2 linked regions of the Saccharomyces cerevisiae S288C genome follow. Changing the gene in region 1 together with any one later gene gives a genetic interaction. Each region holds a gene or a part of one and is shown on either strand. Other genes may lie near its edges.

Region 1 (3,758 bases):
ACCCGCTAGAGCAGTAATGAAAAAGACGTTTTTAATAAACTTACCTGCTCAACTTTAGACTTTAGCATCGAAAATTATGGGTCGTTTAGATAAATAATGAAGTTATTCTAAGCCGCACGTAGTAACAAATCTTGAAGTAAAGGACACCAAAAATTGTATTCCGTGCTGTGGAATGTTGGTGCCAGCATTAATCGAATGGTCCATTTCTTTTCTTACCTTTTTGAAGGAACTGATCCTTCAATTCATATTTTTCACTAACGAAAGAAAATAAAGATTTAGTAGGATACCAAGTACTAAAAGCAAAAAAAGAGTATAGTATTTACATAATCTACATATGTGCAAAGGCTCCTCCTTATTTAGAGAAGAAACTTTCCCTTTCCTTAACCGATGCGGTAATTCAACACGTGAATTTCAGCTATTTTAAGTTTGTTTGGTATTCACAGTTCAGAATATTTCTTTTTGAGTCAGCTCATTTCACGTATTTGCAATGTATGTCATTTAGTTGAGATGATAATGAAAGAGCCCCACGCGCTGGTGCGATCTATGATGAAAAATGTAAATACGAAACTTTACTAAAAATAAATAGGGCAGAATATAGATAAGCAAGAATAGAAAGATCACAGATTTGACTGCACAGTCAAATGAATTCTCTCATCCCTCTTTTAGTGGAAGCATCAACATACATTGTAAGAGGAGAAAGCAGCATCTCAATTGCCATTGGAATAGGGCCTCAAGCTAGCAGGAGTGTGCCGTACCACATTCTTTGCAGGGGATGTGACGGCACGGTAACAACTTTTCGTACGTGGCATACGCAACCACTCGGGCCTTGCAATACAATCATCATAGGCAGAAAAGGTAATGAGACAACCGGCGGCGCAGAACAGAGGAGGCAGCAGCACTTAACGTCTGATTCAGCAACAAAAGCGTCATTGGTGGGTTTTTGTGGGCTGTATTATTATTTCAGGAAATAGTAACTGAACGTGTCAACTTTGCATTAACGCGTTTTTCCTATTTGGGTACGGAGATATTTATGTTTTGATAAGCAAATGCTTCAATTGTGCCGTGCGCATCATCAATCCCACTCACTGAGGAACTCTATAATGAAAAAAAAACAAACAGGCAAAAGCAGATAGACCAATAATTGATATCTGATTTTTCACAAAAAATGCAGGAGAGATCAGCATTAAACGGATCCATCACATCCACCGGACGAATCCGTCTCAAATATGGCAGCCACGCTGGTGTGACACATAATATTACTGCAACACTTCTTATCTCATTATTTTTATCATGGTAAAAGAAGTCAACACTATGCGAGGAATACCAAAAGAAAATTTGGTTCACATCATGGTGTCAGTAAAAGCAACCGACAAAAATCGGGGGGTTGCTGTCCGACGTAGTTTCTTCGTTATAATTTTCAATAATCCCACATTTCGTTGTTAACCTTTTGCAAAAATTGATGTAGTTTGTTTTCCTCTTGGCCCCTGTTGTGGTTACCGAACACGTGAATCGCCATTGCGGTTGTCAATATCAGCCCATTGGGTTTTATGAAGATTCGTAACACCTTCGATTATTTAAGTTTATTCTCTTATCTACAATAATAATAGCGTTCTTTTACAATTGGACGCTGTTATCTTACTTCTGAATGTTCATGGATTGGAAATTTTCAATCATTTCACGAATTATTAGCAATGAAGATAAGTAACATTAAAAAAAATATTGATATCAACTTGCTAGGTTTCTTCTCGCTTCAAAAAAATTTATAAATGGGAATGGAACACTATCCTGTGTAAACTTAAGTCATGTCTCAAGTCAGTTGTTACTTATATTCATTCCTATCGAAACATCCCAAAAAATAATATTTGAAACACTTACAATCATACATTGAACGTCTAAACAACGGCGGCATTTTTTTAATAGCAGAAACGAACATATTAGCTTATTCTACAACTAGTAGGGTTTGTTATACGCAATATTGCTGTTGAATTATTAGAAATTATGAGTGAAACAGTCAAAGATAAAGTTATAATTGATGAGAAGGTATCCACAAAAGGTACTGTTGATTACGCCGAGGGTGCTGAGTATTCTGAGAGGCTTTCAAATCATTCATCAGACTTTTCTCAGTGGTATACGGATGAACAGATACTGCACTTTATGAAGAAGCTGGGTTATGAAAATCGCACTCTTTATGATATTCCGGAAGACGTTGCGTATATCCTCAAAAAAATGCCTGAATTGACACTTGAGGATTCCTTCAAAATACTAAAAGACTCTATCATCTATTTCAAGGATGATGAGAACATTCCACACGATCAATATGAGGAGTGGAAGAGATTGGTTGACTTGGAGGACTTGGATTCAAAAGAGGGGATAGATGAATATGATAGCTTTGACATTAGAGCATTTGCTTCTGCTATTAAATTTCATTCGCCTTACCAAGAGGTTAGAGCTGTTGTTGATCCAGAAGATGATCCCACCATTCCAGTGGAGACATTCCGAGCATATTTTCTGGCAATAATTTGGTCTGTCATCGGTTCAGGATTTAATGAGTTTTTTTCACACAGGGTGGTTTCAATTTCACTGAATACTCCAATTATCCAAATGTTTTTATATATCTGTGGTAAGGCTTGGGCTAAAACTATCCCCTGTTGGACTATAACCATCAGGGGCAGAAAGTATGGTATCAATATCGATAAACCATGGACCCAAAAAGAGCAAATGTTTTCAACCTTGTTATATGCAATTTGTCAAGGCGCGTTCTATACTCATTACAATATTCTAACGCAAAAACTCTTTTACCATTCTGCTTTCTCGTTTGGCTACCAATTTTTACTTTCGTTATCCGTACAATTTATTGGATTTGGATTTGCTGGCATCCTTAGAAAATTCGTTGTTTATCCAGCCCGTGCACTATGGCCAACAGTCATGCCAACTATTGCTATCAACAAGGCACTATTGGGTAAAGAAAAGCATGAATCTGGAATGAGCAGGTATAAATTCTTTTTCTTGACTTTTTTTATCATGTTCATCTATAACTGGTTTCCCACTTACATTATTAATATTCTAAACACTTTCAATTGGATGACCTGGATCAAGCCAAGTAACATTAATCTCGCAAACATCACGGGAGGAGTCACTGGTCTTGGGATTAATCCTATCTCATCTTTTGACTGGAATGTTATTTCGTTTAATTCTCCTTTAGTTTACCCATTTTGGTCATACTTAACACAATATCTTGGTTGCATATTAGCAGCTTTAATTGTTATTGCAGTATACTATAGTAATTATATGAGTTGCCAATACCTGCCAATATTCACAAATTCTTTGTATACTAATACTGGCCATTCCTTTAAAGTTACTGAGGTATTAGACAGTGACAATAAGCTAGATGTGAAAAAATATCAAAGCTACTCGCCACCATACTATAGTGCTGGAAATTTGGTATCATATGGTGCTTTCATTTGCGCATATCCTCTGATGATTACATGGTCGTTTATTGTACACTCAAAGTTATTGTTCAATGCTTTCAAAGATTGGGCTTTGAATTTGTGGGCCATGAGAAAACTTAAATCTTGGGTCACAATGTTCAAAAGCGATTACAGGGCGCTCGACGATTATGATGACCCACATTCTAATGCCATGAAAAACTATAAAGAAGTTCCAGATTGGTGGTATTTTGCCATATTGATAGGTTCACTTGTTGTTGGAATAGCTGTTGTAGAGCACTACCCAACAAATACACCAGTTTGGGGTCTTTT
Region 2 (3,758 bases), on another chromosome or scaffold:
TGTTTAAATTTTGTTCGGTCTCGGCTATATTTGGAAGAAAAATAGCCAGTACATACTTTCTACCACTTTCGCTCAATTATCAATAAAAACATTTAATCGAAAGTCATTCAAACTGAAAACTTCAAAAGTCATTTTTTTATTGCTTCCCATTCCAATCACAATTATGCTTTGAGCCAATTTCAGTAAAACTTTGAAAATACGTAGGCGCATCGCATCGCCTAACTTAATTCGCGGTTTAACTAGCTTCCTCCACCAGTTCCATAAAAAAATGATGGATCAGTGCAAAAAAATTTTATCATAAATCTGATGAAGTATACTAAGCTGAATAAGCTGTAGGCCTTATTTGCTTTTTTCATACCCTTGGTTGGTACGACAGTAAAGATTGGCAGGTTCGGAGATACAACTTTTTTTGAGGCTTAGAATGCTCGGCCTGCATAAAATGGCGTTAAAGTTGCGCACAGGCCCCGGAAACCCTGCCAAGGAATATTACATAAGTTGCAACATCTTTTTCCAATACATGGTTAGAGAGTTTTTAATCGTTATACTTTTTTCTCATTTGATTAAAAAATATAAAATGAATTGCGAAATTCTTCTAGAAATGCGTTACTATTTTACGGTTGGCATTGCAAGATTATTATAACTACGAAGCAGTGTTGGAAAATATCATCTGGGAAGAAATTCCTATTTCTTGGGAAGAATTACATGTGCATAAAAAGATAAAACCCTCGATCACCCAAAATTGACTTTGCGACTAAAAAGTGATTTTTTCAGCATATTGCATTTCAAAAAGTCGTTGTTTAGCACAACTCATAGAAAATAAATACTAGTATGATTCGGGAATTATTTATCAGTTAATTATAGGAGTACAGCCTTTTATAGAGTTGGCGAAGATAGCCAAAAGATAAAAGCTTTGACGTACGTCTGTAAAAAGTGCCTTTTCTGATCGAATCCAGTTGCTCAGATATCCGGGAAGTTGTTAGCATTCATTGCTTTTCTGCACTATATCAGCATATGAATGCTTTCAGTATTTTAATTTTACCCTTTCACGAAGTACGCCAGAAAATGATTGGAAACGTACTCAAAAACAAAGCAGGAAATAAGCGACGAAAATTTTTCATTTCAATTAAGAGGTACTGAGCGGCTACTTAACTTTTTCTGCAGTAAGTAATGACAGAGTATCACTACAGAATTCTGTGCCTCCGGTCTGGGAATGCAGCTAGGGAGACAGCACCCTTTTGCTAATAATGCGCCGGAAATGAAACATTTAGATAAAATCTAAAGTTACGAAAACAATACACTTTGAGGGAAAGATATCAGAGAATTAAAAGCTGCAAAGAACTATGACAAATTAACCGCTTTGTTGACCCTAGATCATAGTTTACACTGCGAACGGGATAGTTGCAACCTCTTTTGTAAAATGCACCCATATCTCATTTTGCCTTTATTTCGGGTGTATAATAGGAGAAAAATTTGAATGGTAAAGAATAAGTCCCTTGCGAGTGTCAAGAGAAGCACAATTATTATTACTATTGGTGACGTGATTGAACTCGAGAATTTTCCTGGACCGATATTTGAGTTTTACGTGGAATGTGGGTGTACCTCATCTCAAAGAATTGGCGAAAAGCCAAACTTCTTAATTCTAACAAAAGCTACTGATTCGTTGGCGATGAAAGACTCTTTTTTTTGGCTGTCAGAAGCTTTCATCTTTGACATAGATGTACAGAATTTGATCAATTGTTTATATTAAAAGATTCGTCGCAACTTATATAAGGTGGCAAGAGAATGATTAACTTCAATTGCTGATGAACGTTCTCAATTCAAAAATTATAAGACACAAGGAAAACAATGTATTGGGTCCTCCTTTGTGGTTCTATTTTGTTATGCTGCTTGTCAGGAGCAAGCGCCTCCCCTGCTAAGACAAAAATGTACGGCAAGTTACCACTGGTTTTGACAGATGCCTGCATGGGAGTTCTCGGCGAAGTAACCTGGGAGTATAGTAGTGACGATTTATATTCCTCACCAGCATGTACATATGAACCGGCATTACAGTCAATGTTGTATTGTATTTACGAATCATTGAATGAAAAGGGTTATTCCAATAGAACCTTTGAAAAAACCTTTGCTGCTATCAAAGAAGACTGCGCATATTACACTGATAACCTTCAGAATATGACTAATGCAGATTTCTATAATATGCTGAATAATGGAACAACATACATAATACAGTATTCTGAAGGTAGCGCGAATCTTACGTATCCAATCGAGATGGATGCCCAAGTGAGAGAAAACTATTATTATTCTTACCATGGTTTCTACGCCAACTACGACATTGGTCATACTTATGGTGGTATTATTTGCGCCTATTTTGTAGGTGTTATGATTCTTGCCAGCATACTCCATTATCTAAGTTACACTCCGTTTAAAACTGCCTTATTTAAACAAAGACTTGTAAGATATGTGAGAAGATATTTGACAATACCTACTATCTGGGGTAAACATGCGTCGAGCTTTTCTTACCTTAAAATTTTTACAGGCTTCCTTCCCACACGATCTGAAGGCGTCATTATACTTGGATACCTCGTGCTTCATACAGTTTTTCTGGCATACGGGTATCAATATGATCCTTACAACTTAATTTTCGACTCTCGTAGAGAACAGATTGCTCGATACGTGGCAGATAGAAGTGGTGTCCTGGCATTTGCACATTTTCCCCTAATAGCTCTTTTCGCAGGAAGGAACAATTTTCTAGAATTCATTTCTGGAGTAAAATATACCTCTTTCATAATGTTTCATAAGTGGTTGGGAAGAATGATGTTTTTAGATGCTGTGATTCATGGCGCTGCTTATACCAGTTATTCCGTATTCTACAAAGATTGGGCAGCAAGCAAGGAAGAGACATATTGGCAATTTGGAGTAGCTGCTCTTTGTATAGTTGGTGTTATGGTGTTTTTTTCTTTGGCAATGTTCAGAAAGTTTTTCTATGAAGCCTTCTTATTTCTCCATATTGTGCTTGGCGCATTGTTCTTTTATACGTGTTGGGAGCACGTCGTAGAATTGAGTGGGATTGAGTGGATATACGCTGCTATTGCTATCTGGACTATTGATAGGCTAATTCGAATTGTTAGAGTATCTTATTTCGGTTTCCCTAAGGCTTCCTTACAGTTAGTTGGCGATGACATCATTCGAGTCACAGTCAAACGACCAGTAAGGCTATGGAAAGCCAAACCAGGACAGTATGTTTTCGTTTCATTCCTACACCACCTGTATTTTTGGCAGTCACATCCTTTCACAGTCTTAGATTCAATTATCAAAGATGGTGAGCTGACTATTATCCTGAAGGAAAAAAAGGGAGTAACAAAACTTGTCAAAAAGTATGTGTGTTGCAATGGAGGTAAGGCATCTATGAGACTAGCTATAGAAGGTCCATATGGCTCTTCATCTCCAGTCAATAATTATGATAACGTCTTGCTACTTACGGGAGGTACTGGTTTGCCAGGGCCCATTGCACACGCCATTAAACTTGGAAAAACGTCAGCGGCAACTGGAAAACAATTCATAAAATTAGTGATTGCAGTTAGAGGGTTTAACGTACTCGAGGCTTACAAGCCGGAGCTGATGTGTCTAGAAGATCTTAATGTACAGCTTCACATCTACAATACAATGGAAGTTCCGGCATTAACTCCTAATGATAGTTTGGAAATTTCTCAACAAGACGAGAAGGCCGATGGAAAAGGTGTTGTTATGGCAACTACCCTAGA

What was found. A genetic interaction does not mean that the proteins touch.
Region 2: mutations in OPT2 (region 1) and FRE3 together harm fitness more than expected from each alone (negative genetic interaction), as found in Saccharomyces cerevisiae (one large-scale study listed by BioGRID).

What each region holds. Positions count from the first base shown.
Region 1 is NC_001148.4:925,178-928,935, reverse strand, and holds the start of OPT2 (Opt2p), read left to right. Parts: upstream 1-1,998; coding exon 1,999-3,758. Other genes in the region: YPR195C (uncharacterized protein), read left to right, coding at 642-971. UniProt on the Saccharomyces cerevisiae protein: Transports tetra- and pentapeptides. Does not transport glutathione.
Region 2 is NC_001147.6:1,053,700-1,057,457, forward strand, and holds the start of FRE3 (ferric-chelate reductase), read left to right. Parts: upstream 1-1,845; coding exon 1,846-3,758. UniProt on the Saccharomyces cerevisiae protein: Siderophore-iron reductase responsible for reducing extracellular iron prior to import. Catalyzes the reductive uptake of Fe(3+) bound to di- and trihydroxamate siderophores.